2 linked regions of the Arabidopsis thaliana genome follow. The protein of the gene in region 2 interacts with the protein of the main gene of each other region in a pairwise test. Each region holds a gene or a part of one and is shown on either strand. Other genes may lie near its edges. The genes, in order: SUC2 and AT1G16260.

Region 1 (5,023 bases), 2.5 Mb from region 2:
TCCAATTTCCGGTTTAGTACCTTCCGGTTTAAATCTACATATTATTTCATTTTGGTTTTATCTAATGGATCTTTTTTATTTAATTAGGGAAGATTTATGAATTTTTCAGAATATATATATATAGGAAGAACCTTAACAAATAATTAAGAAACTCTTCCAAACTTCTTTTGATACATGTTATTAGTTATGTTATATACATCTAAAAACTAAAACTTAAAAGAGTGTGCTTTCTGAAAATTTCCCAAAACTTATCATACTTAGGGGAAAAGGCTTGTCATACTTTGACCAATAAGCTTACCAAACATGTACATCAAGTTACTTTCATAATCCGAGTTTATCCATTGGAAACGGGAAAATCAGGTTAAACAAATGTGAAACAACTTGATTAAAGAATTAACTAAAATAGATAAAAACAAAACATATAAATCGAGAATGCTCTTATTTCACCGTTAATTTTTGTATCTAGCCACATTCATCTTAAAACTTGTTTTGGTTTTATATGTACAATCAAATGTAAAGATATTTTGTAAGTATTTCGCATATACTTTTTTTGTGAAATAAGTTATCAAATCAGTTAATATGAACTGTTTAGATCGTTGTTTTTGTTTGTTAAAAAAATAATTGTGTTAAATCGTTACATAATCTTTTGTAGCTTATGAGGTATTTATTACCGAACAATGAAGTCGTAATATTGAAGCCTTGAAGGTAACAAAAAGTAAAATATACTCCAAATTTAAATTGAGTTACAAAAAGAAAAAGGAACTTCGTGGGTTTAGGTAAAATACAAACCAACCCAATGAGTTTAATTTCCTTTTCTTTTTTCTTTATGTAGGATTTGCACAACACTACTGTTTTATGAGAGAAAGAGAGCCAAACAACCACTGCTAAAATTCAATGAAATCCCATAGTAGCTTTGAAGGCAGGAGCATCCGGAGGCGGTGAAGGCAACACCGTCAACGCCAATACACCACTTACCGCTGCCGCAATCGCTCCTAACACAAATGCTGGAATGTTTCCACCACCGAATAGTTCGTCGAATGGTCCACCTCCCACAGATATTACCATCTATATTTAACCAAGAAACCAAATATATATATTAGTCATAATTTTTCCTAAATGAAAATAAGTAAAACTGATTTTAAACGGGTTTTTACCTGAGGGACGACAATGGCTAGATTCAGAACACCTAGGGAAAGTCCTGTGGAAGAAAAGATAAAAAGCTTTAGGAATCAAGATTACAAATTTTCGTAGGCTATAGAAATTGTAAATTTGGTATATCGCGTATATATGGTCACTCAAACGAATATATAAATATTGGTTACTTATAGAATCTTCTCAATAAGTTATTAAATTACGAATCTGCACGTATTAAATGCTTTTAGCTTTTTTAGGTCCCAACACTTTAAGAAGATTGTCGACTTTGATTATCCAAAACAAAAAGGGTAATTTTAGATTAAATAAAAAGCTCAAAAATAGAATATTTACCTTGGCCGGCACCGGAATTGGTTGAAAATATGGAAGCTAGTGCAAAAGGAATGCTAAACGTAATCTGCAGTTAATAAAAATGAAAAAAAATTCATCAAATTAGGTTATTGATTTACTTCTTTCCTTATTATAAACGACAAATCAGATATAGTACTAAAATAATTAGCCAATGGATAAACAAAAAAAAAAACAGAGAGAGAGATACTTACGGCTTGGGGGATACCGAGGATGGCGAAGAGAGTTAAAGCACCAGCTGTGACGTTACCAGGTGGACCTGTTTTAGCGCCGCCGTGATCTCGTCGGTGATTCTCAGCTTGTTTCGTAACCACAACCGTCATGGCCAAGCAAATGGCGAGGATGAAGTTAACAATACCCCAAAGCCTTTTAGCTCCTCCCAATTTCCGACCAATCCATTCAACACCAAGAGACATGAAACCAAGAACAATAGCGTTAAGCATAAGCCCCAAAGCACCAGCTCTGACTCCGTCGTTGTAAAGCTTCTTAGAGGCTGCGGTTGCGGTTGCGTCTGAGTTTCCTCCGTACACCTCACGGCCCATCCAATCAGTGTCGAAGAGAAGGAAAGGGAACCAAGCGATCCAGTTTAGTGCAGTGACTATAAGAAGCATCCACATGGGTCTTTTTAGTTCCTTGAAAGCTCCGAAGATTTCTCCGAAAAACGGAACGTTGGAGGCTTTTCCATCGGCTGTTGGCTCTGGCGTCCATGGCTTCTCCTTCACGTAACAGAGAGATACGAAAGTGACTATGAGGAGAAGCGTTATGGATAGGAAAAAACACGTTTTGAGGTTTGCGCAGTAGAGATCGCATGACTCAGTCATCGTGAAAGGCACAACTTTGTAGAGATTTCTGTAAGATCCCGCAGCGTAACCCAAAACGTTTCCAACCGCCATGAAAAACGAGAAAAACGCGTTTGCGGTTCGCGTTTTCTTAGCGTTCCCTGCTGATAAATCAGCCAAGAAAGCTCTGCAGGGTCCTTGTAAGGTGTTGTTAGCCACGTCAAGAATCCAAAACCCGAGAGCGAATATCGCTATGGCTCGCGTTTTCGGCGGTTTGTCAAGCTGATCGCCCATGCTGTGACCTATATCGGCAGCGTAACCGATAAGGAAAACAGCAACGGTGACTAAACCAGCTCCAGCGACGATGAAGGGACGACGACGGCCGAATCTTGAGGTGCAACGGTCACTGTGGTAACCGACGATAGGCTGAACAAGCATACCGGAGATTGGACCACAGAGCCAAATCAGAGAAGCCCATTTATGTGGGATTCCGAGTAGCTGCACGTAAGGAGTCAACAGAGATAACTGTAAAGCCCAACCGAACTGTACACCGGCGGCAATGGAAGACACCGATATGATCTTACGAAGCCGTTCCGGCTGATCTAACTCACCCGTCTGCGTTTCCAACGCAGACGCACCATTTGCAGCTTTCTCCATTGGATGGCTGACCATATTTGACAAACCAAGAAAGTAAGAAAAAAAAGAAATTTCTTTGAGAGGGTTTTTGGTGGTTGTTGCGGTGGTTGTAGTGGTGGAGGAAGAGGAAGAGTGGAGAGGTATTTATAGGAAGAGAAGGATAGGATTATCCGAAGAGGAGACAGTGAAGTTAAGAGAGCCTTGAGGCATAGAAAAGAGAAAACAGAGCTGTGTCTATAGCGTAGGGTATCTTCGTGACACGTGTCTGTCGTATATTATTTTTTTCTGTTTTGTATTTAATTATTTTCTTCTTTTTTAGCGTAATATATTATTTTCTGTTTTTGGAACTTAAATCTTTTAGATTTTACCTTCACACAAACTATCTTACTGATATGGACGTTCGATTCTCAAAGACACTTTATTTTATTTCCATCTTTTAGTTATATAATAGTAATGAAAATTAAATGAGAATATGTTAAAAAAAAACCATGAAGCGAGAAATTCGGATAGAGAAAAGTCAGAAACAATATGTAAGGGCATATACTATGTTGATAGATATATTCGGATTGATTTTTCTTGTGATTTTTATATTAGGTAAAGAGAAAGAATATAACTTTCGAATTTCGATCCGAGCGAGTGGCACTAGAATAATTTTCGGTGATAACATTTTTCTAATAAACTATTATTGTTTTATTTTCAGACGAAAGCGTAAAAATATCTATCACTTTTCTTATTTCAAAAGAATTTTTTTTGAAACACTCTTTTTAGATATTTAAATGTGTTAGTAAATTATTGGACAGTTTTATAACTGCATTTTCACCTCTCCCACTGTTTATTTGTACTGCGCGATACAATTGTTTAATACAAATGACAAATCACACTTATGAAATTGACAAAAAAAAAAAAAATCACACTTATGAAATATTGAAATGTATTAAATAATTTGAAAATATAAACATAAATGGTGTGCTATTTTGCATGCATATAATCACCTTTTTGAAAATAATTAATTTCTATGCTCTTAAACTATTTAAATGTGGTGTGAAGAGAATAAAGACAGAGAATAATAGTATCCTCAGGCAATCACATAAGCAAAGTAGTTACATAAAACATGTTTTGGGAAAATATTAAAAGAGGTTGTCTTAAATTATGAAGACAGTTTGACTTATCTTCTCTGATCCACATCTAAATGAAAATTAAACATACATATCTGGATGTTACGATCACAATTATCGATCTCTTCCGTTATCTCTGAAGTCTCGAACCTACATGCAATGTCATGGACTTGACACTTGTAATCAATAAATTATGTTAATTTAACCTTTTAAAACAGTAAAAGTATGTGTTTTTTTTGTTCTTTAATTTAACCAGACGAGTCAAAAGAAAGAATATTATAACATTAATAATTCAAATATCCCCCAAATAATTAACTATCTGGCTACATATATATACGGATATACATATGATTATATTCATATAATCACCATTTAAAAATTCCTTAAAAAAGAAACACTTGAGTTTTTCATGCATATATTTTTTACCAAAAAAAATGCCGATCAAGTATCTGAAATGTATAAATATAACTGTAAACTCATATATATATATAAGTTATAGAGCAAAGAAAAAACATATAAACTTTATGGATGAGACAACATAACACTGAAAACAGATAACTAATAATATAAAATACATAAAACCCTTTACTAACATCCGCAAAAAAAAAAAGCACCATTTACGAACAACCAATTAGTTTTAAGTTAGTTTAATTCCAAAGTAAATTTGGTTGATATCTGGAAAACTAGTTCGTTGAAACCTTGTGATCGGATTATAATTAGTGGGTAAAATCATTCCCATAGTCTTGTGTTGAAATTATATCTAGTTTGTCCACATTGTTATTTGTTTCTCCGTTTTCAAAGGATACTATATGTTTCCGAATTCTTATAGACAAAAAAACGGGAGTTCAAATGTCTGGCCACTAACAATGATCAATGACCAATCACATAAAAGGGGGAATACCAATTTACCGAAATCTGGTAAATGTCTCCCACAAAACAAAGTGGATTATGTATCATTGCAGTTCATATGCAAATGATTTCATGGTCCATTAT
Region 2 (5,414 bases):
TTGGCTTATGTACAAAAATAAGATAGACTGAAATTTAGCATATCTTTTTTTTTTCATGCTTGCATGGAAACTCCAATTATAGCCATAAACTTAGCTGTGTGTTAGTTTGCAGTTGATTATGGTTGCGTATTTTCCAATAAGGGTTTCTGACACTCTTTAAATTATTTTCCAATAATATTCATGGAATCAGTGTGTTCCTTCTCTGAGTAAGACCTTGGTCCCACTGTGAAAGTGGAAGCTTTTGCTGTAATACTCACTGCACAGACATCTGGACACTTGAGGCTAACTGGAAACCGTGAGGGTGAAAACAGTTGTTTTAAAGGGAAGTAGTTACCGAAGAAGTCAACCTATAATGCATTTATCTTCCAGGTAAAGGCTTCCACTTTTATGTGAATGAGTTCAGTTTGTCATCCTATGATATGATTACTGCAAGAAGGTTACCGGCCGTGGTCAGGCCATTACTGTCACTCATATTTGGAATTAAACTTGTACATAATAAGATTCATGTTATATCTCAGTGTATTTGAGTGTTAGTGATTGTTATGTGTTCATTTGACCTACACCAAGGTGTATCATGTGTATAGACCAAACACTTGAATGATAAATTAAGAGTGATACAAATAGTTTGCTTCTTTTTTAGTCTCGTTTTTGTCCTTGATTTGCTACATATAATTAAAGTCTTATAAATTTCGTATAGAGGAACTATTAGATGAAATTACGGAGTACAATCACACGAGCAATAAGACTTTCAAGTTTGATTGGATATCATTCTATATTGAAGTATTATATATTGGAAGGTGAAGAGTATTACTTTTCCAGTCACTGTGTCTTGTGAGGCATTAGTGGTTTTGTGTCCAATGAGAATGAGCTGTTTTCAACGACTATGTTCGGAGAAGAGTAACTAAGTGACATAGACTCCGGCATTGCGATCTGGATGTGTGCATGCTCTTCACCATTCTGTGCTTGGCTTTGAGTACCTTTTCTCTTAGATTGCATCCTATCTAGTTCAATAAATACGTCTCTCATGGTAGGGCGATGTTCTGAGTTCAAGCTCAAACACCTTCTTGCAAGTTTGGCTACTGCAAGGACCTCTTCTCGATCACATTCCTCCTTGATGCGAGCATCGAGAATTTCATGAAGTCTGTCATTTCTCATGGCTTCGAGGAAGTAAGCACCCAACATTCGGACTTCTTGCCGTCTCAGAAGGGAGACAGGTTTCTCTCCGGTTAAGAGCTCAATGAGCAAAACCCCAAAGCTGTAGACGTCACTCTTCCCTGTGAAGTGGTTTGACTGAAGGTACTCTGGGTCTACATATCCAATTGTTCCTTGTACAATTGTTGTCAAGTGAGTATCATCTATAGCAACAGATCTCGAGATTCCAAAATCTGACACTTTTGCACGGTGCTTTTCATCCAATAAGATATTTGTTGACTTGACATCTCTGTGATAAATGGGGATAGAGACGGCTGAATGCAGGTAGGAGAGGGCATCGGCGACTTCACAGGCGATGCAGAGACGGACTTCCCAACTCATTGGGAAATCCTCTGATGGGTTGTGAAGATGATCGAAAAGGTTACGGTTAGGAATGAACTCATACACCAATATAGGTACTTCTGTCTCAAGACAACATCCTAAGATCTTGACAACATTTCGGTGGTTAATCTGTGACAAAAGGATGATCTCATTGATGAATTCCTCAAGATTCTCTTCTTTCAATGCTTTGGACTTCTTGACAGCGACGATCATCCCATCTTCCAACATTCCTTTATAAACTGTACCCTGCCCGCCTTGCCCCAGTATTCTGCTCGCATTGAATCTATCTGTTGCATTCTCCAGGTCATTGGAGCTGAAAACTTTGGTTCTATTTACACTTCCGTGAAGGAAGGATGTTTGTTGCTGCAACAACAAACCTCCATTTCTTTGGAAGAACTTCCTCTTCTGCTTGGCTACTTTCCGCTTTCTATTAGCCTTGCATAGCAACCACATACCAAAGATCAGGAGCAACAATCCAGAGCTTAGAGTTCCACCTGCATTGTAAGTTGATCTTTTCACTTTCAATCTAAAAAGGCTTATGCAGAAACATTATATAACTTACTTAAAATGGCTGGCCAAGTTTTCTCACATCTATATGATCCGAGAACATTCACACACTTTCTCTTTCCACATTTATTTAGATGTGGATCTCTGCATTCATCAATGTCTACGGACACAAAAATTCCAAACTTCACATAAGGTTATATAGTACACTCAAGCCCTCTATTCAAAGAAGTTAATAGGTACCTTGGCATCCGCCAGGTATGTAGGGATTTCCTTCGTAACCATTGTGACACGAACATTGATAGCTATCTTCGAAAAATGTATTGCCTTTGCATAGTACACGCTTTGAAGTCATGTAGGAAAGATCAAGACGCCATTCTAGCTCTATTGTTGTATATTCACTGTACTCCATTAATTCGGGAGGAGTAAACAAGGACCCTGACAATGTGAATTGAGTCAAGAAGGCAACCTGACATCCTTGTTTATTTGGTTCCAGTTTCTCTACGGTTGCATCAAACACTTGAAGTTGAAGAAGAGGTGGTATAGTCATCTGGCAGCATTTGTAACCAACACAACTCGTGTTAGCTCCTTTGTAAGACCGTATCTCATTTCCACATGTCGTCTCACATCCCACGATTTGTAACCCTGTGACATTCATGAACGCCTTGTTGTTGCATCCAACAGCTGTGAACTTATTGTTTTCTGATATGAAGAATGGGCTGCCCTTCAAATTCAAAGACGATGATGAATAACCATCTCTGTTGGGACAACCTGAATGTTTCAATGGACTCTGGATGTAGAATTTGTTGTACACCGATATGGAGAAAGGGTCTCCAAGGTTGAAGGAAGTAACTGCTCGTCGGATCCTTGGCAACAAAAGTATCGGTTGTTGGTCTGATGAGCTTTTGCAGACAATCTCGAACCATTTGTTCTTGTAACAACCTTTGCCTATCCCAAAAGGGTAAGGAACACTAACATTTCCGCAATGGTCACTGCAATTACGAAGTGCAAGAGGAAAAGTAGAAGCAGCTGCGTATTCACAGATTCGCAACAGAAGCATAACAACAAGGAAACGTTTCACATCAACACCCATTTGCTCTCTCTCTCTCTCTCTTTCTTTCAGGAGCCAGAAGTTCTGTTCAGGCTCAGGCACACCTCTCTCTCTCTCTCTCTTTCTCTAACACAGATAAGTCAAGAGTCAACCTTTTCACTTTTATATTAATTTTGCATGATACATCAACGAAGACCTTGACCCATATGAATTGAGGCCATAACATATTTCAGTAGTGGGCTCCGTAGATACAGCAGAAACCACGAAAAAAGAGGATAATGTTTGTAATTAAATGTTTTAAGATATTCTTTATCAAAACAAAACGAAAAATGCCAAAGATATTCATGTTGAGCCTCTTCAAACGAAACACAAGAGTTTTTAGTTTTTACTGTGAGACGAAGTTTTTCATTAAGCAGAACGTTTTAAAATGGATATGCCGGTACTTGAGATTTTTTTCATTAAAATATAGATCACTATTTGGGTGACAATTAATGAAACAAAGGAGCCCATAGTCATGGTCCTTTAATTTCAAAATGGGCCCAAAATTAGTCATGGTCCTTTTATCCTTTAATTTAAAAATGGGCCTAAAATTCGATATCGAACCAAAATAAACATTGGGATGGTTACATTTACTTGTAGCGGTCGACAAAAAAAAAAAAAAAACATTTACTTGTAGCGGCCAAAAATCCCACAGCATATTGAAATGAAATTTCCGAAACTGAATTCAATGCAAATTGAAATGGAATCAGATTAATGGAATTCAGAAAATGACAATTCGTGTGGGGGAAAAAAAAAACATTACGTAAGGAAATATAAAGAGAGAAACTTTATAACGAAAATGAGATTGAAAGTATCCATACGCACGTTCTTCTAATTTCCATTAAATTTCATTTAGGATCTGATGATATTGAGAGTCCCATTTAATGCAAACCGTATAACATAAGCTACGGAGAGAGACTTGTTGATTCCATGCTTCTCACTTACTCCTTCACCCCCAAAATCTTATTCTTCTTTCATCTCCGCCGTCTATTTTTCATCAACATCGATAGATGTACGGTTCTCGTTTCTTCTGGTTATAAAGCAACCGAGTCGCACGGACACGAACCATTTTGTATTTTTCTTTCCATTACAATACAAAAAAAAAGAAGCAATTTGGTCATTTTTATCATTTCTTTAAGCAGATTTTACCATTTTTTGAGTAAGCAACGAGGAAACCTAGAGAAGGTGAGAGAAAATCAACAAAAATAAAGATAAAAATAAAAAGTTAGGGTTTTGATGCATATTCTTAGATTTGAACAAAGAGAAGAAGATAGTTTTTGATTGTTACTAGCTCTCACAATCCTTCTTGAATCTATTCCACCTGTCAAGCTCTACATTTTTTCTTTGTGGTATTGTTCTATCAGTTTTGGATTCTTTGCCATTTTCTGATTCTTTATTTTTTTGGTGTCTGAAGCTAATTTTAGCGATTTGGTATGGTGAAATCTTTCAAATCGAGCGAAGGTTTTGTTTTTCTTAAATTACTTCTATTGAGGTTTTTGGATTAATTGATTTAAGGTTGTTGTAGAGAAAGTTTCCATTTTTGGAACAAAAAGCATGTTTTTGGAGTTTTCTGGTCGGATTATTCATCTACAATTGCAAATGGGAAGAACTTTGATGAGTAGTCTGTGTTTAATTGATAGTTTCTGGAGGATTCAACTTCTGCCAAAACTTAATTATTTCTCCCAATTGTTTTTTTTTGCAGCTTAAATATTTGGGAGGGGAAATTTGTAGCCTACAATCTCTGAAGCAATTTGGCATCTTTAAAGTTTTAGCAGTGATTCTTTATAGTTCAGTATGTCAGATTCTTGTTACAGGTCTTGTCAGTTAGAATAATTTGAAGGACTGTTGTTGTTGTTGTTGTTGTTGTTGTTGTGATGGATAGAAACAGACCACCACATCCGTTCCAGCAACATGCTATGGAACCTGGATATGTGAATGACTCTGTCCCACAAGGATTTACGCCTGATCAAACGGGTCTCTCGAATGCAAATGTCCGACCTAATCCTGCAGATGTTAAGCCGGGGCTTCATTACTCCATACAAACAGGAGAGGAATTTTCTCTTGAGTTTCTGCGTGATCGTGTCATTTCTCAAAGGTCTGCAAATCCCATTGCAGCTGGAGATATCAATTATCCCACAGGTTATAACGGGCACGCAGGGTCTGAATTTGGTTCAGATGTTTCCAGGATGAGCATGGTGGGAAATGGCATCAGGCAGTATGAGAGAACAAACCCCCCGGTTCACGAGTTTGGAAATAAACTCGGGCATATCCATTCAGCACCAGAAGC

Evidence for each region.
Region 1: the proteins of AT1G16260 (region 2) and SUC2 interact in a protein complementation assay, tested with the Arabidopsis thaliana proteins (one large-scale study listed by BioGRID).

The regions. Positions count from the first base shown.
Region 1 is NC_003070.9:8,030,020-8,035,042, forward strand, and holds SUC2 (sucrose-proton symporter 2), read right to left. Parts: upstream 3,138-5,023; 5' UTR 2,952-3,137; coding exon 1,695-2,951; intron 1,550-1,694; coding exon 1,486-1,549; intron 1,199-1,485; coding exon 1,155-1,198; intron 1,066-1,154; coding exon 892-1,065; 3' UTR 568-891; downstream 1-567. UniProt on the Arabidopsis thaliana protein: Responsible for the transport of sucrose into the cell, with the concomitant uptake of protons (symport system).
Region 2 is NC_003070.9:5,558,889-5,564,302, forward strand, and holds AT1G16260 (Wall-associated kinase family protein), read right to left. Parts: upstream 3,305-5,414; 5' UTR 3,131-3,304; coding exon 2,281-3,130; intron 2,201-2,280; coding exon 2,096-2,200; intron 2,028-2,095; coding exon 820-2,027; 3' UTR 610-819; downstream 1-609. Other genes in the region: AT1G16270 (kinase superfamily with octicosapeptide/Phox/Bem1p domain-containing protein), read left to right, coding at 5,002-5,414.